Macaca fascicularis: one gene and its partners. The protein of the gene in region 2 interacts with the protein of the main gene of each other region in a pairwise test. Links are inferred from orthologs where the notes say so. Each region holds a gene or a part of one and is shown on either strand. Other genes may lie near its edges. The genes, in order: TRIO, CDC5L, MYT1L, GOLGA2, KIF5B, DISC1 and YWHAZ.

What was found.
Region 1: the proteins of CDC5L (region 2) and TRIO interact in a two-hybrid assay, tested with the Homo sapiens proteins (2 studies listed by BioGRID and IntAct). The link is inferred for Macaca fascicularis from reciprocal best matches to the Homo sapiens genes CDC5L and TRIO.
Region 3: the proteins of CDC5L (region 2) and MYT1L interact in a two-hybrid assay, tested with the Homo sapiens proteins (2 studies listed by BioGRID and IntAct). The link is inferred for Macaca fascicularis from reciprocal best matches to the Homo sapiens genes CDC5L and MYT1L.
Region 4: the proteins of CDC5L (region 2) and GOLGA2 interact in binary tests that used the Homo sapiens proteins (3 or more experiments, as listed by UniProt). The two-hybrid records come from large-scale screens. The link is inferred for Macaca fascicularis from reciprocal best matches to the Homo sapiens genes CDC5L and GOLGA2.
Region 5: the proteins of CDC5L (region 2) and KIF5B interact in a two-hybrid assay, tested with the Homo sapiens proteins (2 studies listed by BioGRID and IntAct). The link is inferred for Macaca fascicularis from reciprocal best matches to the Homo sapiens genes CDC5L and KIF5B.
Region 6: the proteins of CDC5L (region 2) and DISC1 interact in a two-hybrid assay, tested with the Homo sapiens proteins (2 studies listed by BioGRID and IntAct). The link is inferred for Macaca fascicularis from reciprocal best matches to the Homo sapiens genes CDC5L and DISC1.
Region 7: the proteins of CDC5L (region 2) and YWHAZ interact in a two-hybrid assay, tested with the Homo sapiens proteins (2 studies listed by BioGRID and IntAct). The link is inferred for Macaca fascicularis from reciprocal best matches to the Homo sapiens genes CDC5L and YWHAZ.

What each region holds. Positions count from the first base shown.
Region 1 is NC_088380.1:14,797,993-14,802,483, forward strand, and holds the start of TRIO (triple functional domain protein), read left to right. Parts: upstream 1-1,688; 5' UTR 1,689-2,072; coding exon 2,073-2,229; intron 2,230-3,727; exon of another isoform or gene 3,728-3,781; intron 3,782-3,888; exon of another isoform or gene 3,889-4,028; intron 4,029-4,491. UniProt on the Homo sapiens protein: Guanine nucleotide exchange factor (GEF) for RHOA and RAC1 GTPases. Involved in coordinating actin remodeling, which is necessary for cell migration and growth. Plays a key role in the regulation of neurite outgrowth and lamellipodia formation.
Region 2 is NC_088378.1:127,107,458-127,111,240, forward strand, and holds part of CDC5L (cell division cycle 5-like protein), read right to left. Parts: intron 1,797-3,783; coding exon 1,652-1,796; intron 1-1,651.
Region 3 is NC_088387.1:120,355,661-120,358,692, forward strand, and holds part of MYT1L (myelin transcription factor 1-like protein), read left to right. Parts: intron 1-1,845; coding exon 1,846-1,989; intron 1,990-2,301; coding exon 2,302-2,442; 3' UTR 2,443-3,032. UniProt on the Homo sapiens protein: Transcription factor that plays a key role in neuronal differentiation by specifically repressing expression of non-neuronal genes during neuron differentiation.
Region 4 is NC_088389.1:15,712,821-15,716,603, forward strand, and holds part of GOLGA2 (golgin subfamily A member 2), read left to right. Parts: intron 1-1,133; coding exon 1,134-1,238; intron 1,239-1,495; coding exon 1,496-1,539; intron 1,540-1,658; coding exon 1,659-1,722; intron 1,723-2,141; coding exon 2,142-2,201; intron 2,202-2,384; coding exon 2,385-2,465; intron 2,466-3,333; coding exon 3,334-3,372; intron 3,373-3,638; coding exon 3,639-3,689; intron 3,690-3,777; coding exon 3,778-3,783. UniProt on the Homo sapiens protein: Peripheral membrane component of the cis-Golgi stack that acts as a membrane skeleton that maintains the structure of the Golgi apparatus, and as a vesicle thether that facilitates vesicle fusion to the Golgi membrane.
Region 5 is NC_088383.1:32,759,706-32,763,488, reverse strand, and holds part of KIF5B (kinesin-1 heavy chain), read left to right. Parts: intron 1-18; coding exon 19-143; intron 144-1,423; coding exon 1,424-1,528; intron 1,529-1,827; coding exon 1,828-1,973; intron 1,974-2,642; coding exon 2,643-2,791; intron 2,792-3,449; coding exon 3,450-3,643; intron 3,644-3,783. UniProt on the Homo sapiens protein: Microtubule-dependent motor required for normal distribution of mitochondria and lysosomes. Can induce formation of neurite-like membrane protrusions in non-neuronal cells in a ZFYVE27-dependent manner.
Region 6 is NC_088375.1:17,054,036-17,057,818, forward strand, and holds the end of DISC1 (disrupted in schizophrenia 1 protein), read right to left. Parts: intron 2,692-3,783; coding exon 2,553-2,691; 3' UTR 225-2,552; downstream 1-224. UniProt on the Homo sapiens protein: Involved in the regulation of multiple aspects of embryonic and adult neurogenesis. Required for neural progenitor proliferation in the ventrical/subventrical zone during embryonic brain development and in the adult dentate gyrus of the hippocampus.
Region 7 is NC_088382.1:110,578,183-110,582,591, forward strand, and holds the start of YWHAZ (14-3-3 protein zeta/delta), read right to left. Parts: upstream 3,022-4,409; 5' UTR 2,908-3,021; intron 2,686-2,907; 5' UTR 2,475-2,685; intron 1,699-2,474; exon of another isoform or gene 45-1,698; intron 1-44.

The DNA of each region.
Region 1 (4,491 bases), on a different chromosome or scaffold from region 2:
CTATGTGCAGTCCACGGTTTAGGAGAGAGGAGTTCTAGTCCATTTCATGGAGGGCACAGTATCTACATAAATTATTTAGAATTGTTCCCAATGTATTTAGTTAATCCAATTGATTTAAAAATAGTATATTATATATTACTTAATCCCACTTATTTGCTTAATCATTTATTTTCATCACTATGGACTCATGGATAGTTTATTTCATACTTTTGGTTATAATCACATTCTGCTTTATTTTTTTGCTCAAATCGTTTCAGCTTTGGCCACTGGGAGCGCTTTCAATTAGCTCCTGTGTCCCTTTGAGGTACCCCCACCACTGCTGATGTTGATTAAAAATTTTTCTTTTCACGGGGGGAGCAAATTCCTCACCTTTTGGCACAAGGTGCTCCAGGCACACCTTGAGTATTTCCTGTTCCAGTCCTAGAATCAGCCATTTCCTCAAGGAGCTCTGGTTCCTTTTATTGGAGAATGGTATTAGAAGCAAGATCAGAGTGCTAGGTGTATTCCTTGCTACAGTGTTGTGTCTAGGCCCACTCAGCTGACAAAGCAAGGAGATACAAGTATGTGTACTACCCTCTATCTACAAATCTCTGTACAGACCCATTATATATATATGAATACATAATATAGATATAGACCCCAAACATGAGTCCATACCGATGTCTCCAACTCTAATTCTGTACCACAAGGATCACTCTAGCCTCTTCCTGGCTGTAACCTCCCACTCCAACGGTGAAGATTTGATAGCCACCATCCACCATTTATATTTGTCTATTTCCAGTATACTCGTGTGGTGGTTTCACCACCCAGTTGCTTTTCATATCTCTTGCTTCCGTCTCTTGCTTCCGTTTCCCCCCGACAGTGGATCCTTTCACTCTCCTTGGAGCCGGGGCATAGGCGTTTTGAACTAGAATATTCGTCCAGCGCTGATTTGACACGGATCTTCTGCAAAGGACCATATTTTTTGGCCTCCCCAGACCTCGTCATCTTCCCCATTCATTCTGGCGGAGTAAGGACTGAGGAGCCGTGAACCCGAGGTTCAGCAGCCTAAAGTCCCCTGGGAGATGGGGATACACCGAGAGGAATCCCATCTTACAGGAGAGCTGTGTACCCGTAGGAGTATCGTGGACTCCAGGACTGGAGTAGATAACCTGTTATCAGGCCCTCTCTGTTCACTCAACAACTATTAAGAAGCCCCCTCCCCGAGCCAGGGCCGGCGCTGCGCCCACGAGGGAGGCACCCGCCCCGGACCGCGTCACCCCGCCCTGCGGGCTAGACGACGAAACGCTTCGGCGCTCAGGGGACAGCGCTCCGGTGCAGGAGCCAGGGCCCCAGTGGGGGGCGCAATGCCGGGCCTGAGAAGGTCCGCTCGGGCTGGTCAGAGCTTTCCTGATCCTTTCAAGGCTTGCAGCTGCCTGGGTGAGGGAGACCGAACCAAACCGAACCTTCCCGCAGCCTTCCGGCCGGCCCTGCGGGCGCCCAGCAGCCCGACACGGCACCGCCCCTCCCGCCCCGCTCCTCCCCCCAGGCTCCGCCCACCGCCGAGCCCACGCTCGGCCCCTGACGAGGTTCGCCGGAAATTCCCGAAGCCCCTCTTTTTTTTTCCTTCCTCTCCGTTCCCTGCTCTCCCTTTTCCTTTCACCCGGGTTCCCTCGGCCGTGATTTCCCCTCCCCCTCCTTCCTTCCCCATTGAAATCAAGATGGAGGCTCGCGGCAGTCGCCGGCGCCCGTGATCCCGGAGCTTTCGCCGGCCACGGGCCCCCGCCCTCGCGACTGCGCGTCCGGGCGGCGCGCACTGCTGCCAGCGCTCCGGCCGGGGCCCCGGAGGCCGTGGCTCCGCGCCCCCGCCCCTCGGCCAGCTCTCGGCTACCGGGCGGAGTCCTCGTCTATGTGGGCGCGCTCCTTGGGCCGAGCCGCCGCCGCCGCCCCCCGCCGCCCCGGGGCTCTGCGTCCGCGCGCCGGGCGCGGGCAGCTGGGTGCTCGGCGCCGCCAGGCCCGGCGCAGAGCGGGCGGCACGCGGCGCTAGGGGCGCGGGGCCCGAGGCGGGCGCGGCCGCGGGCGCCGCCGCAGCCATGAGCGGCAGCAGCGGCGGCGCCGCCGCCCCCGCCGCGTCCTCCGGTCCCGCCGCGGCGGCCAGCGCGGCTGGCTCGGGCTGCGGGGGCGGTGCAGGCGAGGGGGCCGAGGAGGCGGCCAAGGACCTGGCCGACATCGCGGCCTTCTTCCGATCCGGTGAGTGCAACAGCGGCTGGCCAGCCCAGCGGCGCTGCCCCAAGCTTTCGGCCCATCCGCCGCGGAGCTGCCAAGCTCCGGCCACCACGCGCCGGTGCCCACCCGTCCGTTGGGGCCCGCACGCTCTCGCCTGGGGCCACTGCTTCCACGCGCCGGGGCTGCCCGCCCCACATCCGCGTGTCCCGCTGCCCGCGCAGCCCGGCGCGCGGCAGCTTGGCCCGAACGCCACCACTTCGCCTTCCCTACACCCGCCCTCGTTCCAGGGCAGAATCCCCTGGTCTCCCGCTCCCGGCAGCCGCGGCTTCGCGGGCTGGGGCGCCGGCTCTTTGTCTCTTTCGCTGGAGGACCGAGGAGGCGGCGGCGGAGGAGATGGCGTGGGCGGAGGCTCTTACCCCGGAGACCGAGCGGACTGAGCCGGGGCCGCTCCGGGACGGGAAATTGGTCTCTGATCTGTGCCTGTTTGTGCCTGATTTGTACCTGGACCCTCCTCGATCCCAGTAGCAGCTGGGTTTCTTTGCTTGGCCCGCTAGCCTGTCATCTCCCCAGCCTCGGTCTACACTTCTGTGAAACGGGGCAGTCACGGCATTCACTGCCCAGGGAATGGGAACGGTGGCCGAGCTGAAGCTCAGAGGGCCGGGAGGCGCGGTGAGCCATTGTCTCCGGGGACGATCCGGGAGGGTCAGCTGGGAACGTGGCCCCGGGGGGGCAGTGCGGGACTAGGGCTCGCGGGGCACTGCATGGGTGGCGTGGAGGTGGAGGCAGTGCTAGGTGGCCCCGAGTCCACCCCGGCGTGGAGGAGGTGGCCGCGGGAGAGGCGCGGGTGGCGACCGGTCCGTGGGAGGGGCGCCGGGTTTGCTGCGCAGGGGGCGTGACAGGGCGTCCCCGGTACCCCAGCGGCGGCGCCTCCTCCCGCCCCGGCCCAGATCCCGCGCGAGCCGGGCCCGCGTCCCCGTGTCCCGCGTCCCCGCGCCCAGTCCCGTCTGCTCGCGCGTCGGCTGAACAGCAGCAGCAGGAGGAGGCGGCGGCGGCGGCGGCCTCGGGGCCCGCAGCCCAGAGCGCAATCCTTAGCGGGCCGGGTGCGGGGCAGGGAGGATGCAGACTCTGCGTTGGAGAGCGGAGGAGGGCGGGCCAGGTCGGGGCCTGGAGAGGCGGGCGGGGGTGCTGGTGGCGGCCCCGGGGAGGACGGCAGGGCTGGGGACACCGACGGGCCAGGGGAGCAGCCCTGCCCTGGGGGACGCGCGGGAGGTCGGCGGCTCACGCTTTTCCGTGGCCTCTTTGAAAATCACCTCCCCAGATTCGGTGAGATCAGTTCCACAATCCGGGTCACAAGGAGCAATTGCAGCGGGAGGGCGATGGTGAGAGTGAGAAGTTAGCAGTGCTGGTAGATACCTGGTTTAGTACTGTCTTCCCTTGGTTGTCTTGATCTTTGCTAGGCGGGGTTATTTTTGATTCATTTTAGCAGATTGGTTGTGGCTAGGAGTGACACAGCCGACTGTCCAGTGTTAGCTTGGGGTTAATCTACTCCCCAGTGCTCACTCTCCTTGTGAGGTCCCTGCAGAAAGCAAAGGTTAGGAAAACATGAGCTCCTTCTAAAGAAAGCCACCCCCACCTTTTTTTTTTCCCCGGTGCGACTGGCCAGGTAGAGCAGCCCCGTCTTACCTCTTAATAGCAGAACTGGGACGTATTCCATTCATGCCCTGAAGCTAAAGTCTAGCCTGTCTTCTTTTTCTCTCTACCACCTGTCACAGAATAATAGATTCTGTGCAGAATTCAGCTCCTCTACAGCTGTTAGAAAGGCTCTTCTGCGTTGGAGATGGATTTTTTGGTGCTTGTGAGACCAGGCTTTTTTACATCTCTATTATGCATAGTAGAAAAATCACTTCTGCTGCTAAGAGCCCTCCCTAAAAGACACCGAAGACTTGCTGCCTGTCGGCGTGACTCTCTCCAGGAGTTGTCGTCTGCTCTTGGCTTTGCTTAGGCCTGTGCTGACCCAGCCGCTGGGGCTCCTGTTCATGTTCCGTTTGGGTCAGAACCAGGTAATGTTGCTCACTGGCTTGTTCCTTTCTTCCCCCCTCTGAAATGACAAACTTAACTTTTACTTGTTTCACTTAGAACCACGAGCCAGGGCAGAACTTAAGTAGGTATCATCAGATGCAGCGTCCCATTCCGGGGATAGCCTGGAACGTCTTTTTAAAAGTGAAATCTCCTTTGGGCAGCTCTGAGTCCCTGACCTAGATCTTGGCTCTAGCATCTAGGCCAACG
Region 2 (3,783 bases):
AATATAGCTTTAGAAAGTCTTCCTTACAGAATGTGAGGGGAAAATTCACATTTGATATAAAATCAAGCTACAAAGGCTGTATCTCTATACTGAAATTCTTTCAAATCAACGTATCAATGTACCAAGAATGTAAAATAGCAGTATTTATACAAAATTGGAGGAGGAAGACTGAAAACCAATTAAAATATCACACAGAAATACTCCAGTGAGCCACAAGATCCCTAAGAAAATCTAAAGGTGTTGTGTTAGTAATTTTACCAAAATAAATATCCTAAGGTGTACTAAGAAAAAAATTAAAGACAAAATTTCAATTTAATAAATATCCCCACTAGGAATGTCAGGATACGACAAAATTAGTTTATGCCCAAGAATCTTGTGTTGATGCAGCCAATGTGCTCACAGGGGGAAAGAGTTCTTCTGGTCTCCTAAGTCCTTTCTTCTGCACCATTAAATCTGTCCAATTCTACAAAGCTGTACTACTCAAAACAGAAAAAAAAGAAGGTTAGCTAGGCACAGTGGCTCACACCTGTAATCCCAGCACTTTGGGAGGCCGAGGCGAGTAGATCATGAGGTCAAGAAATCGAGACCATCCTGGCCAATATGGTGAAACCCTGTCTCTACTAAAAACACAAAAATTAGCTGGGCATGGTGGCGCACGCCTGTAGTCCCAGCTACTTAGAAGACTGAGGCAGGAGAATCACTCGAACCCGGAAGGCAGAGGTTGCAGTGAGCCTAGATGGCGCCACTGTACTCCAACCTGGCGACAGAGCGAGACTCAGTTTCATTAAAAAAAAAAAAGGTTACTCTAAGGTCCCATGTTTCTGATCAACTAGAATAAGTAAAAAGAAAACAGCCTGTAACAAGCTGAATGAAAGAATGTTTGTATCTTTTCTCCACAACTCCTACATTGATTTTCGTAACTGTTGTCTCAAAAAAGACAAGCAAAACACAACAAAACATTCCCTGGGAGAAGGTAGCTTAAAGTCCACAAAGCCAAACCACACCTTTACCCTTGTCAGCTACAAAAAAGAAGCCTAAAATCCTAACCTGTTGACAAAATGTTAAGAGCTGACGATTACTTACCAAACCATCATATGAGCAGTTTAAGACCTGATACAATAATTTATACAGAGAAGCTGAAGCTATCTTATCATACTATATCACAATTACTTGTGGGTTTTTCTTTTTCTTTTTTTTTTTTTTTTTAGACAGAGTCTCACTCTGTCACCCAGGCTGGAGTGCGGAGGCACGATCTTGGCTCACTGCGACCTCCACCTCCAGGGTTCCAGTGATTCTCCCACCTCAGCCTCCTGAGTAGCTGGGATTACAGGTGTGTGCCACCACGCCCAGCTAATTTTTGTATTTTCAGTAGAGACAGGGTTTCACCACACTGGGCAGGAACTCCTGTTGTCTTGAACTCCTGACCTCAGGTTATCTGCCCATCCTGGTCTCCCAAAGTGCTAAAATAACAGGCATGAGCCACCGCAGCCAGCCCACAATTACTTGTTTTTATGTGTGTCTTACCCATTAAACTGTGAATTTCTTAAGAGCATCCAGCACAAACCTGGCACACAGGCCTTCAAACATTTGCTGAATAAATGATATAAGCATATAAATTCACATAGTGAAAAATTTGCTTTTATCAGATTACCTGAGGGGCAGGAAGTACTAGTTTGCTTCTCTTTTTAGTAAATTCAGAAACACCACTAGTTTGAAGAATAGCTGATGGTAAATCAGATTCTTTTTTCCTTTTCAAATGCTGTTTGTCTTTTTTTCTATCTCTTCCTTCTTTTTCACTGTCATGGATCAAGGTAGAAAAGACATTTGTAAGTTACATATAGGCAAAAACATTAAAATTCATACAAATACTCATACCCTTTGAACAAACCAACCTCATTTCTAAGAAAATAACTAAAAAAGCCGGGTGCAGGGGCTCACGCCTGTAATCCCAACACTTTGGGAGGCCAAGGTGGGTGGATTACCTGAGGTCAGGAGTGCGAGACCAGCCAGGCCAACATGGCGAAATCTCGTCTCTACTAAAAATACAAAAATTAGCCAGGCGTAGTGGCGTGTGCCTGTAATCCCAGCTACTCGGAGGCTGAGGCAGGGGAATCACTAGAACCTGGGAGGTGGAGGTTGCAGTGAGCTGAGATCCTGCCACTATACTCCAGCCTGGGCGATAGAGAAAGACTCCATCTCAAAAAAAAAAAAGAAAAGAAAAGAAAAGAACTAAAAAAAGGCAAAAACAATATGCATTAAGTGGTCCCCTACACCATTACTTACTATATTCAAGATAAAAGCAAACTCAGAATAGCAATAAAATTATTAATAACATACCCTAAGTAATTGAAGTACTAAATATTAAAACATATAAGTATGAAGACTGTGATAAGCAAAACATTCCACATAATGTCAAAAGAAAAACTATTCCTATATTATGAACATTCAATGAAAATGTGTGTGCACATAGGAAAAAGTATGACAAGTATGTAAAAAGGACAATGTGTATGAAATAAATAATATTAAAATATAGTATTTAAATTTCCCTTTAAAACTTACTAAATTGTCATGATTCTTAAAATTCACAAGTTTTTTAAAAAGGCTGTTTTAATACTGACAAGCAACATCTAAACATGATTAAGAAGCCTAAAGACAGGCTCGAAGCAGTCTTTCAAAGCTCCAGGAATACCTCCTCCCCTTCTGCGTCTTTCTTGCCTCCCCCACTTAGTACTCCTTCCAAATCAATAGTTTTCCTGTTCCGTCTCTTTATTTGTACAGCCTACCTAAAGCAAAGTCCTAATTTGAGGAATAAATACAATGGAGTACATCTAAGAAAATCCTATTTTACAATGGCCGATAGCTGTTGTTTTGTAACAATTCATATCAACAGAAATTAAAGGTCAACAGAGCAGAAAACTTTTAAAAATCCTTGACAACCATAAAATACTTTCCCTACAATATTCAGATATGAGATTTAAAGAAACTAAAATTCTCAAGAAATAGGGAAAATCTGCTATCTTCTAAAACATAAAGATTTTATAAAAGTGTATCTATCCCATCAAGTGAAAGGATCAGTAGTTTTTTCTTTTAATTTCATCTTAATAAAAACAAAATTTTTCACTAGAAAAGACTAAAAGGGCCAGGCGTGGTGACTCACGCCTGTAATCCCAATACTTTGTGAGAGAGGCAAAGGGAGGACAGTTTGAGCCTAGGAGTTTAAGGCCAGCATGGATAATATGGCAAGACCCACCTCTCTACAAAAAATAAAAAATTAGCCAGTCATGGTGGCACACATCTGTAGTCCCAGCTACTTGGGAGGTTGAGGTGGAAGGATCACTTGAGCCTGGGAGGTGGAAGATACAGTGAGCTGTGATCATGTCACTGTACTCTAGCCTGGGTGATAGAGTGAGGCCTTGTCTTAAAAAAAACCAAATTTTTTTAAAGACTAAAAAAACCAGACTCAATTTTGACAGATTCCAGCCACCAGTGAAACTAACCTATTCATAAAAGTACCTAAAAGTTAAGAAGTGATTCAAAGAGTAAACAGTCAATTAAGAGTCACGCACTTCAACTTAAGAGCCATAAACAGCATTCTGTGCTAAAAACATGATAGCCAGAGTCCCTGATTTTCTCAGAAAGATGAATCCATTAAATAAATAAAACCATATGTAGGCCACATTGTACTAATAAAAATCTAGACCAGGCACAGTAACTGATGCCTATAATCCCAACACTTTAAGGAGGATCGCTTGAGCCCAGGAGTTTGAGACCAGTCTGGACAAT
Region 3 (3,032 bases), on a different chromosome or scaffold from region 2:
AGGTGAGCTGGGCTGGGCTCATCCAGGAGGGCCCGCTGAGGGCCGGCAATGGGGAGGCCTCTGCAGGGTTCCCTGAGCACAGACAAGGGGCTGAGGGGCCTGGAGCAGCGGCCATCTAGGAAAGCCACCGGGTGCACAGGGCAGGAGCCACCATCTGCTCAGGGAGGTGCCCATCCTGCTGCTGGCCTTCCCCCTGCGTGGGCCCTTTAACAACCTTGGGACCTGGGCAGTGGCGCCTCACCCGAGATTAGATTCCATCATAGAAAACCTATGTCTCTTTACACTGACATCATCTCTAGTGAGGTCCCAGCCACAGCTGCCACCAGCTGTGAGTGCAGGCACGTGGCCGCCCAGGAAGGGTTACAGAACGCTCTGGAAGACGAGCACGAGGCACGCAGCCCTTCGGGGCCCACCCAGGAGTCGTGGGAGGGCAGGCATCCACTCCTGAGCCTGCAAGGGGGCAGCTGGGAGGGGAACAGTAATTTGATAAATAATCCCAAGGAACACAAATGAGAAGGTCACCAAGGACGTGCATGGAAACAAAGCTGTGTGATTTCGGTGGGTTCTCCACAGGGCACCATCCCTGCAAGAATGGTGGGGGCTGCGATTCCTTCCAAGGAGAAGGCCCACCCTCCCCACTTCATCCTGGAGGGTATCTCCAAGGGGCACCAGTTTTCTAACAGAGGGTCTGTGCCTGGGGCTGGTGGGAGAACCCGGGATTTGACCCAGTACAGCCAAGGGAGGGCCAGAACATAGAAGACAGGACCAAGAGGGAGAGGAGGAGAGACTCTCATGAGAGGACTTGGGAATGACACGTCGGGGAAGGAGCGGAGAGGAGCGGGTAGGCCAGGCCAGCCCTGGACTCTGCGGGTCAGCTCGGTCTTCCAGAGAGAAGCCCCAGATCACGCACGGCAGAGGCACCCCTGGGTGGCCGAGGCAGACACCCCCACGGACAGGGCAGCTCCCTGCCTGCTGCGTGTGAAGTTAGTCCTGTGCCGTTAGAGGCCCTGACCTTGACCTTGATGATACTTAAATTATCTCTGGAATATGCAAGGAAGGGTCCGCGGTGGGCCTTTTTCCTTAGAGAAATGCAGGAAGACCACCCTGTGGGCACAGTGCCAGCCCGGTGCCATCTGAAGAGATAGTGACACCCCCACACAGAAATGAGCATTGGAGGACTTAGCTGTGGCAGAATTTGATTCAGGCTAGAAAGGAGAAGTATTCGCATCAAGTCAGTAAAACACTAAGCCCCCACACACTGCAGTCCCGTCAGGCCAGCTGAGAGAACAGGATGGCGCAAGGAAACAGTCCCACTTCCCCAGTTGTCAAGTGCAGTGAATCCAAAGCATAGACAGCAGGTCCTTAAACGGCAAGCGCTCACCACTGAAGCCTTTTTCTTTCTTTCTTTCTTTCTTTTTCTTTTTTTTTTTTTTTTTTTGTGAGACGGAATCTTGCTCTGTCACCCAGGCCGGAGTGCAATGGTGTGATCTCAGCTCACTGCAACCTCCGCCTCTCTGGTTCAAGCTGTTCTCATGTCTTAGTCTCCCAAGTAACTGGGATTACAGACGCCCGCCACCACGCCCGGCTAATTTTTGTATTTTTAGTAGAGACAGGGTTTCACCATGTTGGCCAGGCTGATCTCAAATTCCTGACCTCAAGTGATCTGCCTGTCTTGGCCTCCCAAAGTGCTGGGATTCCAGGCGTGAGCCACCGCGCCCGGCCCGAAGGCTCTCTCCTTCAGCGAGAGGCCCCTTCTTGGCACCCAGTAGGCTGTGGCCCCCGGCAACGGCCACGGGCTTCTAGGTCCTCCTGGTGTTACATGTCACACGCACTTGTGCGTTTCAGATTACCACGATGGAGAGCAACCTGAAGACCATCGAAGAGGAGAACAAAGTGATTGAGCAGCAGAACGAGTCCCTCCTCCACGAGCTGGCGAACCTGAGCCAGTCTCTGATCCACAGTCTGGCCAACATCCAGCTGCCACACATGGTAAGTGACTGAGCGCGCAAGGCAGGAATGTGGAGTCCTCACAGCGCACAGCCTAAAGTAGATGCCGTTTTTGTTGTTATTTTCATGGTTCTTCAGCCTTTGGCAAATGTTTGTGGTTACCACCCCGAAACCATACCGTTAACTGCTAGAAACATGGGCGGGGCTGACCCCATAAACTTAAGTGTGCTCTGAGCCGGCCTTTGAAATAGTATAAAACCAAGGGCACTATGCTATGATACTATTTTATGCTTTTGTAAATATACTATTAAGAAAATAAAAGTTGTATATGAACTACTATTTAATATCTCGTAGGATCCAATCAATGAACAAAATTTTGATGCTTACGTGACTACTTTGACGGAAATGTATACAAATCAAGATCGTTATCAGAGTCCAGAAAATAAAGCCCTACTGGAAAATATAAAGCAGGCTGTGAGAGGAATTCAGGTCTGAACAGCTGCTGTAGTGATGAAACTCTTGCTTAAAAAGGATGCCTCTTGTTTTTTGCTGCTGTAACTTTCCAGAAAGTGTTCTATATTTATTTCTGTTTGAAACAGTGTTATGCTTACAAGACTTCATAATGATTTTATGTCTTGCTTTAAAGATAGTACCTGCAGAATAGTTTTTGAATACACCCACATTTTGTACGTTTCCATGTAAGCTGACATAGTGTTCTGCCATGTAATGTTTATAGCTGCTGATGTATGCACATTTGGGGGTATATCTATTTCTGAAGAGGTAAGCTGATCAAAATAAATAGAGTGTAAATTCTTTTTAATGCTTTAGTGATTAAATGTTTTAGTATTTTGAACTGAAATGGACACACACACACACACACACACACACACACACAGCTTTGAATGACCATGTTGTGGCCAAGCAGCCGCTTTTTAGACGTTATCATTTTGCCTCATGTTGGAGGACTTTATGGAATTTAAGAAATACATTTTGTGTGCATATTGTTTCATAGCAAGAATTGGTTGCAAAAATGCTTTATTTTTGAACAATGCTTGGAAATATTATGTGACTTTTTTGTTTGTTTG
Region 4 (3,783 bases), on a different chromosome or scaffold from region 2:
TCAGATATTAGAAGACCTCTAGAACCAGAGGCTTGGGTCAAGAGTAAGGCCAGAGCCTCGAGAGAGGCCGGGTGGGGCTCTGATCAAGCAGGTAGGTCCAGTTGGGGGCGAGGGAGAGGCTCCATGTGACCCCAAGTTCTGAATCCTAGGATTGTCCCCAGGTACAATTCCCAGGAAAGAGGCCCCATAACTTCCAAGTTGCCAGGAGCCATAGGGCAGATGTCTTACCTCTGTTTTCTTGGGTGGTTTCTTGGTTGGGTAGATGTTTTTGGAGGTAAGAGGTTGGGGTGGGGGTGGTAGCCATGGTTTATTCTCCTTTTACCTCCAGATAGTTGGGGAGAGGCTTCTAGTTGGGTAATTTTTTTTTTTTTTCCTGGAAAGGTCTGAATCAGAAACACAGCCAATAGGCCAGGTTCAATGGCTCACACTTGTAATCTCAACACTTTGGGAGACCAAGGTGGGAGGATCACTTGAGCCCAGGACTTTGAGACCAGCCTGGGCAAGATGGCGAGACCACATCTCTATAAAAATTAGCTGAGCATGGTGGTGTGCTCCTGTAATCTCCGCTACTAGGGAGGCTGAGGTGGGAGCATTGCTTGAGCCCAGGAGGTGGAAGCTGCAGTGAGCTATGATTGTGCCACTGCAGGGGAGAAGGGAAGGGAGGAAAGGAGGAGAGAAGCAGGCAGATAGCTACATTGCCCAGACAACTACTTCCTCATCACCATCCTCTGCCCACTAGGGGCCCAGTTAGGGTCACTCTGCAGCACAGACTGGCCTTCTGGAAGAACAGTGCCTTTCTCCTCCCTGACTTTGGCACACCTTCCTCCCACCTGCTGTGGCTGCCACAGGTCAGTGCCTGCTGCTGTCTTTTGCTGAGCTCCAGAGAGAGCGAGGTCCTCGTGTTCATGAAGGAGGCCGTGCAGCCCCTGCTTTGAGCTTTGGCCATCTGAAATGCTGCCTAGCAGCCCAAGGCCTGGGCAACCATATCCACACCCCTGAGTGGCTCCTAGCATGTGTGACTGTCACTGACTGCAGCAACACCTGTCCTACCTGTTCCACACCCTTGTGTTCATGGCACTGAGGCACCTTCTATCCCGCATGGCCCCCTAACCCCCTGCTCTGTTCTGTGACAGACACCCAAGGACAATGCTGATTCTCTACAACCGTCTGATGACACTGTGTTACCTGGCGGTGTCCCTTCCCCTGGTGCCAGTCTCACTAGCATGGCGGTATCTCAGGTTTGTGCCTCCTCCCCCTCTGCCTACTCCCCTCCTGTACCTACTATGGATTATCTTCTCTTTTCACAGGTAGCTTGTTCCCTAGGGCCAAGGGCTCTTCCTGGGGAATGGGCTGGGGGAAGGCTCAGACTAGGCTTTTTCTTGAGGTCTGGGGATATGGAAGATTGTTGGAATGAGTTTGGGAGCTTGACTCACCCTGTCCTGGGTGATTCTTAGCAGACATTGAATGACCATCTCATACGTTTCTTCCCACACAGAATCATGATGCTGACAATGTCCCTAATCTCATGGATGAAACTAAGTGAGTGTCTCCTGTTGGGGCAGCAGTCTCTAGGCCGAGAGAGTCAGGGAGGCCACTGCCCATGACCTTCTTTCCCATTGAGCCACCTGCACCCCTGACCCCTGTGTCTCCATCCCTAGGACTTTCTCATCAACCGAGAGCCTGCGACAACTCTCCCAACAGCTCAATGGTCTTGTTTGTGAGGTACCTCAGGAATTGAGGCCCAGAGTGGGGTGCGGGGGGAAGGGAACTATGATAGAAAGAAACTGAGGCAGGGATTCACAAGAGAGGGAAGATCCTGGACCAGCCAATGTGCTGGGCAATGTTGAGGAAGTCGGCTTTTCCCTGAGCTTTCTCCCTTGAAGTTGTGCACATGAAGGAGTTGGACCCTGTGACTGGTTGCATCATTTTATCCTGCTGCAGAAGCACTGGATGAGAGGTGCTCGGGAGGGAAGGATGGTGGGGAAATAAGAACCATGAGAGAAGTTGGCACAAAGGGGTTACGGGACAAAGGGTCCAAGTTAGAAGAGAAAATGTTGCCAATTGCTGGGGAAGAAAGGAAGTCAGAGGGCTTAGACACTGAGGGGACAGAACATCTCCATGTGCACTCTCGTCTCTTATAGTCTACGACATGTGTGAATGGGGAGGGCCCTGCATCATCTGCTAACCTGAAGGATCTGGAGGTAAGAGGCCCTGGGCCGTGGCCCAGTGACCCTGCAGGCCAGCCCTCCAACCTCCTCCCATAGCGGGGGCTGGGTGCCCCTCTGCCAGCTGAGACAGCCCACACACCCCCCAACCCTAATGATTGCTCTCTCTACCTCTCCCCCCAATCCTCCTCCAACTCCTCCTCTCTGCATGCGCCTCAGAGCCGGTACCAACAGCTAGCGGTAGCCCTGGACTCCAGCTATGTAACAAACAAACAACTCAATATCACGATAGAGAAATTGGTAAGAGTCCAGTGGGGTCCCCTGATTCCACGCTGCTAATCCTGGGCTCCAGTTTCCCCTTGGGACCCTGAAGAAAGGGGCAGGGGGCCCCTGGTGCCAAGGGCGAATGGGGAGCTGGGGGGCCCAGGCCTCAGCTGGAGGGACCCCAGAGCACGGAGCATGCAGCATGGCTCTTCTGTTGCTGCCCTCTTTGCCTACTCTCTCTTCTCTAGACACCCCTGCTCGAGTCCTTGCCACACATGCCCTGGGATTGTTGCCTCTTGGGGAAGCACTAGCCTGACTGGTTGTCAGGAGCCCCGTATTTCCACCCTGACTCAGTCCTTAATTTGCTCTTGGATTCGGGACAAGCCACCTCTCCTTCTTGGGCTTGCATTTCCTGAGGAGGTAGAGTTAGAGAGTATCAAAGGTCTCTTAGCTCTGAGCGTTGAAGATTTAAAGGCCCACTAGAATGTAAACCTCAGGGCCAAGGGCTCCTGTCTGTCTTTTTCTGTCTGATATCCCTGCTATTAAGAACTGTACCTGGCCTATATGTGCTCAGCAAATGTTTGTTGAATGAATACACCTTTCTAAATCACAAACTGGCAGAGGGTGGGCTTTTCTCACACTCCATCTCTAGAGGTTTATGTTACTGTCCTTTCAAGAGAATCCAGATTCAGACTTTCAGTTCTGTGGTTGTGGGCAAAAACCAACAAAGACACAAATCCCCTTTCCTTGGGAGCCTGAGGAGAGTTGAGCAGTTCGTGTTCCCATTGGGTCTGAGAACTTTGCCTTTAAAATCCATTCCTGGCTCCTGCCTACCCCTTCCTGGTCTGGGGAATAGGGTTGAGGGGGCCACCCTCAGTCACCTTCCTTTGACTCTTCCCCACAGAAACAACAGAACCAAGAAATTACGGATCAGTTGGAAGAAGTAACGTGATTTCTTTGTTTGCTCACAACATGACAGCTGGGTTTGGGGGGCACTCAAATGTAGAGGCCTCAGTCTCGTCTCACCCGCTCCCAGCCTGGGGAAGAAGGCTCACCCCCCAAGATTCCACCCCATCCCCACAGGGTCCCTGATAACCTGGTCCCATGGGTGGGCCGGTCCTGGGGCATTGGTGGCATTCTGGGGGCATGTCCCTTGCTGTGCCATCTCTGCCTCCCCCTAGTAAGAGCTCTGTCTTCCTCTTCCTGTAGGAAAAGAAAGAATGCCACCAAAAGCAGGGAGCCCTAAGGGAGCAGTTACAGGTGAGTGGAGGGGGTGAAGTTCCGCCCTGTCCTCTGGAGAATGTTTCTTTCCTTCTTTTTCAGCACTTGCTTGGGTTTCCTCCCAAAGGTTCAC
Region 5 (3,783 bases), on a different chromosome or scaffold from region 2:
TGTGTAATTTCCTTGCAGATATGAATGAACATAGCTCTAGGAGTCACAGTATATTTCTTATTAATGTAAAACAAGAGAACACACAAACGGAACAAAAGCTCAGTGGAAAACTTTATCTGGTTGATTTAGCTGGTAGTGAAAAGGTAAAGTCTTCATGTATTTTGATAAATATTTAAGCATCTTTGTAAACTTTAGTTTGAATTGGGAGTTATGCAGGATTCGTTGTTGCATCTTGAAAACTTATCAAATTGGATTTGGTAACCTGAGATTTGTAACTGCTGATACCATTGCTTTATGATGACATCAACTGAATAATCAGTTCCAAGTTACTGTTGTTTGACCATAGTCTAGTTCAACTCATAAATAGTTTCTGTGACTTAAGATGTGTTCATGGTGAGAACTTGTTCGGTGTATGTTGTTATAAACTTTATTAGGTATCCCTTTTCTAATTTTTGATATGTATTTTATCCATATTGGCCAGCGGGGTCCCTATTAAAACTGGTAACTGTCCATTAGTCTTTTCTGGTTTGGTTGGACTTGCTTCTTTCCTTTGGATGATTGTTTCATTATTACAATTCTATACAGTCTGATTCTTGTCTGTATCAAATTAAGTTTGAATGTTATAATAGGGACCTCTGTGACCATTTTTGCTGTTGTGCTAATTTTGTTTCTTCTGCTTAGAATGATACATCTGTTCTGTTCTGTTGTGAAGTCTTATACACATCTTTCAAAGATTATCTAATGTTGAGAATTCTCCTAAGTTGTTTCTTCAGCCAACATTGCTAATTTATTGGTCTGACCTATCTTTAACATAGATACTAGCTGGGCGTGGTGGCACAAGCCTGTAATCCCAGCTACTGGGCAGGCTGAGGCAGGAGAATTGCTTGAACCCAGGAGGCGGAGGTTGCAGTAAGCCGGAATTGAGCCACTGTACTCCAGCCTGGGTGACAGAGTGAGACTCAGTCTCAAAAAAAAAAAAAAAAGCCACACAACAAAGATATTTAGATACTTTATTTTATTTTTTTTAGAAGAAGCAGGTTTGCTTATATAATGAGTTTAAACTCAGTCTCTGTTTTCTAATAGTTACAACATCAACATTATGCATTAGCCAGTTTTAGAAGTTTCCTCTTTTCTAATGTAGCAAAGGGGACTAAGATTAATGAACTACAAATTTACATTTAAAGTGGTTATTTTCAAGAGTACCTACAAACTACAGATAAAATTTGATGTCTCTCTAATCAAACTCTTAAGAGTAGTACTCAAGAAATGGTGGTACCTAAGAGTAAATGCTTGGCAAATAAGATCATGAAGCTTTTCATGTTCTTTTTTCTTTTTACTGGTTGTTGATGACCTCTGAAAATTTTAGAAAATTTAAAGAAAATTTTTGTAATTTTGTTCCGTTCTTTTGAAATCTTATGTATAGGTTAGTAAAACTGGAGCTGAAGGTGCTGTGCTGGATGAAGCTAAAAACATTAACAAGTCACTTTCTGCTCTTGGAAATGTCATTTCTGCTTTGGCTGAGGGTAGTGTGAGTATACATGTCTTCTATCTCCCTGTTACCTTACGGGGCATTATTTAAATATAGGTGTATATGTGTGCATGGGTGTTAGAGAGGGAGAGAGAGAGATTCACTGTGTTTGAATCAGTATGTGTAAGTTAGTTGTCTTTTGGGAGTTTATAATATTGTATGTATATCCTAGTTCACATTTTAATATCAAATAGTTAACTGAAATAACCTTTTAATTTATTTAAAGTAGCATATTTTTATAACATTTTATTGTACAGAAACCCACTGGTCTTGTTTTCTTTCTTTGTTTTTGTATGCAGACATATGTTCCATATCGAGATAGTAAAATGACAAGAATCCTTCAAGATTCATTAGGTGGCAACTGTAGAACCACTATTGTAATTTGCTGCTCTCCATCATCATACAATGAATCTGAAACAAAATCTACACTCTTATTTGGCCAAAGGTTTGTTGTTAAGAAAGTACAAAACCTAAATGTAGATAGACCTTTTGTTTATAAAATGTAGGAAAATGTGAGCTGTTATTCCAACCTGTACATATTGTTTTGTGCTAGACACACTCAATTTGAATTGATGACAGATAATACAAGATGGGCCTGTTTTTGATACTGCTTGGTTTAAGTTTTAGTACACATTAAAGTCAGATGTAATTTTAGTCAAATTTATGTGACAAGCTGTAATTTGGTATTAAAGAAAATAAGCATTTGACTCAAATAATGATGTAAAAGCCTGGCAAACATAATCCTGTGTTAGGCCTGTAGACATGCATGACAGGTTAACATCTATATGAGATGATTAGGAAAATCAGTAATGATGATTCCGTCTTTGACTTTCAACAGTAATTTCTTAATTCAGCCTTGCAAACAAATTGGAAAAATATAGGTCTTTGTCTTTTATTTTTAGTGATTTTTTTTTTTAAGCTATTGACGGATTTTGGAGCAGACTCAAATTTAGTTGGGTTGTAAATAACCTCATAGGTTGTGTCTTTTAGTATTTAGTCTAAGAGATTATTGGACAAGAATAAATTTCTTAGCCATATATACATATATTCCATATAGATAAAATTAAAAATAATTTCAGTCTCATCCCTTTTTTCCTCCAATTACATCTCTTAGGGCCAAAACAATTAAGAACACAGTTTGTGTCAATGTGGAATTAACTGCAGAACAGTGGAAAAAGAAGTATGAAAAAGAAAAAGAAAAAAATAAGATCCTGCGGAACACCATTCAGTGGCTTGAAAATGAACTCAACAGATGGCGTAATGGTAATAACTTAAGAATTTGTCATCTTAAGTTTGTTAAATACAGATTTAGAGCATAGAAACGTAGAAATAGTTCAGCAAAATCAGTAAGTGACTAGATCAAGAAATTTAATAGACATCGAAATAATTATTTAAAATCTAATAGAAATCCTGGAGCTGAAAAATAAAATGAGCAAAATGCAGTAGAGACCATCAGTAGTAGAATTAATTGACCAGAAGAAAGCATCTGAACTTGAAGACAGATTATTTGAAAATAACACAATCAGAGAATAAAAAGTTTAAAAGAACGACGCTGAGTGCAGTGGCTTACGCCTGTAATCCCAGCACTTTGGGAAGCCGAGGTGGGCAGGTCACCTGAGGTCAGGAGTTAGAGACCAGCCTGGCCAACATGGTGAAACCCCATCTCAACTGAAAATACCAAAATTAGCCTGGCATGGTGCTGGGCAGCTGTAATCCCAGCTAATGAGAAGTCTGAGGCAATAGAATTGGTTGAACCCTGGAGGCAGAGGTTGCAGTGAGCCTAGATTGCACCACTGTACTCCAGCCAGGGTGACAGATTGAGACTCCGTCTCCAAAAAAAAAAAAAAATTTTTTTAAAGGAATGAAATTGAAATTAGTTTTAGACATGTTGTTTCTTATTAACCACTTTATCATATTTTAGGGGAGACGGTGCCTATTGATGAACAGTTTGACAAAGAGAAAGCCAATTTGGAAGCTTTCACAGTAGATAAAGATATTGCTATTACCAATGATAAACCAGCAACCACAATTGGAGTTATGGGAAATTTTACTGATGCTGAAAGAAGAAAGTGTGAAGAAGAAATTGCCAAATTATACAAACAGCTTGATGACAAGGTAGGTATTTCCCGATTTAGGTCTGTTTTATATTAGGATACTATTGACATGAGTGTTTTTATTTTCTAATTTTTCATATTTTAGTGCTGTGGGCACTTAGGATCTTTATACATATTCCTTGATTTCTGTTAATCTTGTAA
Region 6 (3,783 bases), on a different chromosome or scaffold from region 2:
AAATACATCATGACCTCACAGAATTATTTCATGATGGTGTCTGTGTAATACAAAACACTTGGGCTAGTGACGGTTAAGATGTCTTATGTCTGGGAGGCTTTTTAAAAAGATATATGTCGAAGTAGGAATTTGTTATTGGCAATGTGGCCAATCCTGACTCTTCCCAAGTTTTGCTTCACTGGAATTAATTCAAGGACTCCAAGTGCCATGCGACCAGTTCATAATTTTCTTTAGACACAATTATAAATAATTGAGGAATTTGGTTCATCATTGAAAAATGAAGTCCAGGAACAAGCTAATTATACTTATTATTAAAATATGTAGAGTGTATTTTGCTCAAGATGAAGCCATAGGGAACACAATCAGCACATTCACATATTGTGTTTTTGGTTTGTTTCCTGGACCCCAGCCAATTGCTGGCTTCAGCAGGGCCATCTCCTTGACTGAGGACAGAAGTGCGGCACAGCATGGAAGGCTGAGCAAAGCACCAGATGCCTTCTGGAAATGCCAGTGTGACTTCAGGAAATAACAAAAATGGCCTCATATCCATGGATCCTAGTGAAGGCAGGAACATCACTGTCCCTAATCACATATATGAGAACAGAAGCACAGACAGAACAACCACTGGATTAAATTTACCGATCTGTGGCAGGTAGTTATTAAGCTCAACACTCTGCAAAACTGTGAGTGTGGTTTCTACAGTGATGTAAATCAGAGTTTGGACTTGGACTTCCTCAGAGAATGCAGTGCTGTACAATACTAGATCTGTGGGATATGAATAGGAGTTACATGAGAAAAATTCACGATCCATTAAGCTTGGAAAGTTTGAGGTTAGATAAAATCAAGTGAGTTTACTTACTATAAGTTCTCTCTCAGACTAATATGCTAATGCGCGTTGTGGTTCTCCAAGCAGATATTATGGTATGGTGTATTTATCAAAGGCACTTGACCGGAGAGGGGACTCCTTTGTTTAGAGAGCATCTCTTGGGGCCACCTTCCTCAGTGCATTTTGGGAAGTGCTGCCTAATTGAAATCAGCCTGTTTTGCAGCTGTCTCAATAGGAGTCCCAGCTGGGCCAAAGAAGCAGCCCAGCAGGAGCCTGAAATGCCCTTGCATTATTGAGTACTGCACTGATTTACTAAGTACTACATTGCCTATACTTATAGTACTGAGTACTAACTGCCCTGTGTCACTGAGTTCTGTGCTGTCCTACTGAGTACTACACTGTGTTACTGAGCACTCCACTGCCTTACTGAGCACTGCACTGTGTTACTGAGTATTGCACTGCCTTACTGAGTACTGTACTGCCTTGCTGAGTACTGTACTATATTACTGAGTACTGCACTGTTACTGAGTACTGCACTGCGTTACTGAGTATTGCACTGCCTTACTGAGTACTGTACTGTATTACTGAGTACTTCACTGTGTTACTGAGTACTGCACTGTATTACTGAGTATTGCACTGCCTTACTGAGTACTGCACTGTATTCCTGAGTACTGCACTGCCTTACTGAGTACTGTACTCCCTGAGTACTGCACTGCCTAACTGAGTACTGTATTGTATTACTGAGTACTTCACTGCCTTACTGAGTATTGTACTGTATTACTGAGTACTGCACTGTGTTACTGAGTACTGTACTGTGTTACTGAGTACTGCACTGCCTTACTGAGTACCGCACTGCCTGAGTACTGTATTGTGTTACTGAGTACTGCACTGCCTTACTGAGTACTGCACTGCTTTCCTAAATGCTGCACTGCCTGGCATTGAGTGAAACAGGTTCCACGGGAAAACAGAACAGGCTCAAACATTTTATACAGGTTTCCCCTGATCCATCCACAGCCTCACTGTGGGTAAATTTCATAAATTTCCTGATGAAACACAGACTCTCAGGGATCCTTTCTTCAGGTGCAATCATTGCCACAAAAGGAAAATTGAAAGGTGGCATACCACTGAGAGGCTGCTGTCTTACCAAAATATCTTTTGAAAGTTGCGTATTAATTTTTCTAAGATAATATTAGATCACAGGAGAAGTAAGGTGAAAAGCTGTTAATTCCAGACTCTGAGGTTAATTAGCTCTCTTAGATTGTGCACCTGTAGGAATGTGTAACAGGTATGATGACAGAGTGTTATGCTTGGTTTCCTTTTTATAGAATCTTGAATCAGGAAATATTTTAGTCGCAGCAGAAGACAAATGCTACAGGGAAAAGAGACATTTTTCCAGAATTCACCCCAACTTCTCTCTAATGGGGGCTGAGATGAAAATATTCTCAAATCCTGTGCAAGCCATTCCCATGAATGACATGGAAGAGAAATTTTTGAGTGACATTTGGAAGGAAATTCAGCAAATCCGTCTCTCTCTCCATATTCCAATTTGCAGACTCCTCAGACTCATGAGAATGAACATGAGCCACCTTTCCACTGAAAGACCTCAAGGCTCTGTATCTCCATAATTAACTCAGGCACATTAGTTATGCAGGGGGAGGGGATAGCAGCCCCCCAGGTCCAAACTGTTGACATGGTGGCCCACCTCCCTCCCCCATCCCGTCTCTCCTCAGGCTTGTGCTTCCCGGACACCAGCTGTCATGCAGGAAGCTGCGGCTTCTCTTTCCCCCGCCTCCTTTGCCGGCTGGAGCTGCAGGATCATGGCCTGCAGAGTTTCCTTCACCATCTGGAGCTCCCTCTTGAGAGACTGTGGGCACGTTGTTAAGGAGCACATTCGAAGGTGATGGTGGCCCTCTGCAGCCTCCAAGGGATCGAAGAGCACGTGAGCCTACTGGAAGCAGATGGGCACTGCCACCTAATTGCAGTTTCAAGTTCTTTCAAATTGTATGAATTAAATATTAATATAAATTTTATACTTTTTCTTTTAAGAATGACTGCAATTTCTACAATGCCTGAGGTATTGACTATCTCAAGTCAGGTCTTAAAAAGGAAATGGAAGAGTCAGCTCTTAGCCGAGACAGATGGCCAACTTAGATGCTCAATGATATGCAGTTGGCGTGACCATAACTCCGGCTAAACCCCAAGTTGGGGCGGGGCAACTGTCAGATGCAAATACTCTTGACAGTGGAAAGGGCAGAATGCTTGAAATCAAAATCTCCTCGAGAAATACAGGATTTGGGGTCACCATAAGTCGGGAGAGGCATTCTGGACCAGACTCAGTTATTAACACGGTCTCTGTTCACCATTAACCAGTCTTGTCACCCTATGCAAACCGTTTAAAGCCTTAGTTTTCTCTTGAGATGATGACTTTGAAACCCCTCCAGGTCTAACCTGCTGTTACCTGTTAGTATATTCCCAGGGACTAGGAAGGGCACTCAAGACTAGATAGAGTCCATCAAAGGGCAGAGAGTTTGCCTTTTCCGGTTTGGTTGGTTGGTTCTTTTTTTTTCTTAAGCTGTTGGGCTCTTCGTTTTCTAACCTATAAAGTTATTTCTCATATGGAGGAAACAATCAAAGAGAACTTAGCAAACAGTAATAGATAAGGCTGTAGTTCTCTTAAGAAACGGGTTCTCGTCTGGGTGTTCAAGCAGGGGAATGTTTAACCAACAGTGGTTTTTCTGTCCATACATCATCCAGTTCATCCTTTCCCTTTTTACTTGTAGTCAGAACAACTCTAAGGCAAATGCAGGGTGAGAGTTGGGTTTAACAAGCAAACTGATCCATTTTCATCCAACAGGGACCAAGGGGGAAAGTAGAAATATGCTGACACCACCTAAATATGCTGAAGTCATCACATGAAGCCAGACCACTCCAATAGTACTAGATCAGACACGGAGGGA
Region 7 (4,409 bases), on a different chromosome or scaffold from region 2:
CTCTACACTGCGGGCAGGACTCACCGCACCCATTTAACCCTTACCTGACTTGAGACGTCGACTACGGCGAAACGAAAACCGGCAGACCCGGACTTTAAAGTGAAAATCCTCCGGTCCACTTATCCGCAACCACCCCCCTCCAGGCTCCGCCCAAGTCGGAGCCTCCGCTCAAGTCCCCGACTCTCCTTTGTCATGGCGGATCTGTGTCAGGGAGCCCAACCTACTGCAGAGTGTTAATTCCCCCCTCCTCCGACCGAAGCCAGAGGGAGGAGCAGCCCGCGCCCCCGCCCAAGCCGTGGCGCGGCGGGTGGGGGGGAGCGAAGCCGCCCGACCCCGGGGCAGAGACGCCACAGCCGCCCGCAGAAGCGGAACCACTACCAGCCCCGCCACGGACACACCCCGCTCTCCCACCCAGCGCCTTCCCCGCCACCGATCAGCGCCGATGCCCGTGTACAGCGTCTCTAAGGGACCGACAGCTGCAGGTGGGGGAGGGGACGAGAGCCACACCCAGCAGAGCGGGCCACCAGCGGCTATGCTCAGGGTCACCCGCCCCCAAAGCAGGATATGCGTCCCCAAACCGAGCGCAGGGAACCTCCAGTTCTAGTCCATCACGCACGGAAGCCGACGGCGGGCTCCCCACCCCGCTCTCTACCCCCACCTGGACTCGCAGCCCCCGTCCGCACCTCCTCCGCCCGTTCGAAAGGAGCAAAAAAAGTCAGACCCATCCCCCACCCCCACCAGGAAATTTCAAGTCCTTCCTCCCACCGCGGAGCCCACGAAATTCAGCTCTAGGTCGCAGGAGAGCCCCACCCCAAAACCTCACCCCGCAGTGTGCTCCCCCTCGCGCCGGCGCGCGGCCTCGCCCCGGTCTACCTGGCGGGCGCCGCCGTGCCAGGCCTGGGCTCCGGCCCGCTCTCGGCCAGGCCTTTCCCTCGCTCCTGGATCCCCGAGGCCCCCGGCCCCTCCCCGCCGCGCCGCCGCCTCCCGGGGTGGGGGAGGGCCGGGTCCCGCCGCCGCAGCGCCCAGCGCAGAGGCTGCGCGAGGGGGAGGGGGGCGGGGGAGGGGAAGGAGGGGGCGGCCGAGGGAGAGAAGAGGGGGCGGCCTCACCTGCGCCACTGCGATGCCCGCCGCCGCCGCCGAGTCATTATCTCGGGCGGAAGCGAGAAGGGCGACGAGGGAGGGGGTGGGAGCCCGCAGAGACAAGGGTGGGGACGGATCGCGGCCGGCGGCGCCCCGGCCATGCCTCGTCCACCTTTGGGAGCCGGCGACAGGGGGATCCCCAGGGATCTCGCGTGTGGGCGCCCTCCCCACCCCCGGGAGCAGGACGGGGGAGCGAGCACCGATCGGCGCCGGGGCGTCGATGCGGAAGCAAGGAGTCGGAGGCGGCCGCTAGCCGCCCGCCCGAACTCAGCGGAAGAGGAGCCGCCGCCCGTGTCCGCTGAGGAGACTCCGCCTCAGCCCGGCGCCGCCACCGCGGGGCTAGTGGGGATGAGAGGACGGAGCGAGGACGGCTCCCACGCGTTCGGAAGGCTGGCCTGGGACAGGAAGGAGCGGGGCGCGGCGGCGGCCAGGTTCCTCACCTGTGTCCGGAGTGGGTGGTGGCGGCGGACAGACAGGGGCTCAGCAGTCTCTGGGCGGCGGCGGCAGCAGCAGCGGCGAGGCTGAGACTCTGTCCCTGGATCTCGCTGCTCACAGGCTACAGCCGCTCCGCAGACACGGGGTTTCCTCCAATCACCAGCCCCGGCAGCAGGGGCACCACACGCACGATGACGTCAAACGCTGCTATGGCAACCGTTGATTGGTGCCCACAGCGATCTGGGCCCCGCGCAACCGCCGCTCCCCGGCGCGCGTCTTGCCCGCCCGCGCTGGAGGGCGAGCGGAGGCGCGTGCGTCCTCGCCCGCAGCCGCCACTTCTCCCACCCCGCTCGGCTCCCAGCTCCTCTACGCTTGTCCCGAGTGCACCTAGGCAGGAAGCTTTTTTTTTCTTTTCCCGCAAACCCCCCCACTCCTCGCCTTCCCCTTGGGTCCCCGACGCCCTCTCTCTCCCTCTCCCCTGTGGCCTCCGCCGGTCCACTCTTCCTCTCAGCCTGTGGGAAGGCGCTCTCTCCCTACCCCCACCTTAGCTTTCGCTCAGGCCGTCTGCGCTTGCCCCAGTCACTCCCTCTGGAAGGGGCTCCCGTTCAGCAACATCCGGGACCTTTCACATCCCCCCACCTCTCCCCGAGGCCCGGCCCGCCCCGCCCCGCCCTCCGTGCTTCGCGGTAGTAACTGCCCCGGGGCCGTCCCCGGGCAGGATGACGAGGGTGGCTCGGCGGCTCCGGCATTGTGATCAGGACTTGCGGGGTGGGGGCCGGGCGCGGTCGCACGGCAAGGGAGGGTTGTGTGTGGTGCGCTCCCCCCGCCCCCCCGCCGCTCCCCTTGCCCGGAGGGGCGCGCGGCCCCTCCCGGTCTCCCTCCCGCCGCCGCGGCTTTACCTGCTGGCTTGGGGGAAGCGGCCCTAGACCTTTTATGGCTCGGAAACGGGAGTGAGGCGTCCAGCCCGAGTGTGGCTGAGTGATGGGGAGGCGTTCCAATCGAGAGCTCGGGATCTGCGCTCGGTGACTGCCCGAGGGGACAATGGGTGGGCGCCGAGGTGGGGACGAGATGGGCCGGGCCGGGCCGGGCGGAGCCGGCGGGAGGTGAGGCCTGGAAGGAGGCGCGTCCGCTTTAGGGAAGCCAGAGTTCCGAGGGGAAAGGACAACCTTCTCTGGCGGAGGGCTGGAGCTGGTCCTGGCAGCCTTGACCCGGAGACAGGCAGTCAGGCGTGACCGCACGGACCCGTTTCTCGTAGGCTAGGTTTTCCTACCCAAATAAAGCTTTCACGTGAAGACCTCATACTGCAGTGACTTAACACATGACTATCATTACCTTTTTGTCTCCTAGAAGCAAGGTTTGAGGGACGTCGTAGTCCCCAGGGTTCCAGCTGGCGGTGGGAGTGGACCACGGGCCGGGTGATGAGCGAGGACAGTAGCCCGGAAGAAGGGGAAGGAGAAGGGCGGAAATTGCAGGTGCCTGAACGGGTAGGGCCTCCGCCCAGTTGACTTAAGGAAGTTCAGAGAGAAACATTCACAGTGCGCTGCCCCTTCACTCTTTAAATGTGTTCGGGCTAAGAAAAGGTTAGTGCCTGGATGACCTGCAAAACCACTTGCAACAGTCATAGAGACTGTACGGTTAGCAATGAGAGCGCTTGGAACTCTTTATTTTACCCTTGTGTAAACTCCTCATTGATTCTTCCAACGTATCTTTATTGAGCTTCATTTAGCCCCATGTTCTCTACAGAATTTAGTTTCTCAGTAGTAGACACGAAATGACTGAGTCCTCGCTCTTCCAGTACATTGTCTTTCTTGCATAATACAGTGGACCACAAAGCTGCTCTACAAATTACTTTTTGCTTGACATGACAGCTGGCATTTAGATAGTACAGACCAGAAAGAGAGTTTCCAGTGACCAGTTCCATTTCAGTGGGTTTTTTGTTGTTGTTTTTCACAAGCTGCCAAATCACAAATTCATGGTAGGTTAAATAGATGAACAAATTGGAGTTTTATTTCTGAGATGTTAGGGTCAACTAGCTTTGACTCTCAAGTAAATTCTTTTTAGGGCGTGACTCACTTAAAATGACTAATATTTCAAAAGCTATTTTTTTTAACAGTTTTTTCCAGTTTTGTGGTAGGCACCAGAAATTTGACAGAGGATACTAAGTTAAACGTTTTTTAAAATGGAAATTCATGTTTCTTTAATGTCTCAAATATATGTCTATGTAGCGTGTATGCCTTTTGTTTCAGAGGAGGTTAAGGGGTTTCTCTATAAATTGTGAGTTTAGGAAAGAAAGAGCTAAGTTAGGTTTTTGCCTCATGCTTTAATAGAAAGGCATTTTTTAGCGCAACAATAGGCACTGTTAGGTTTTACGTACTCAAGTCAACGTGTCTGCACAATAAAGATACAATGAAGCTGCAAGAAAGGAACAGGGGATGTTATGAAAGTCCTGAGGAAAAGATCTTTCAAGAAATAAGGAATAACCTATGGCATACAGAGCAGAATAAATAGAACCTATGAACCCTGGGAACGTTGCTGGAGACTTTCACTAATACCCTGACCTGTTTTATTTTCTTCAATGCGCAACTCTTACCTCACTCAAGTTGGTTAACCTCTATGTGCTTTGATAGCCACGGCAATAAAATACTGGCAACAAAAACACTTAACTCATTAGGTGATGCTGAGGATTAAACGAATATACACATACGTATATTTCTTACACAGAGTTACCTAGCTATTATTCATTTGTAAATGGATATATCTGATTGATATCTCTAGTGTTCAAAGGATTGTAAAGATAAAATGAAACTATTCTTTTTGATTTTTAGGGAACTTCA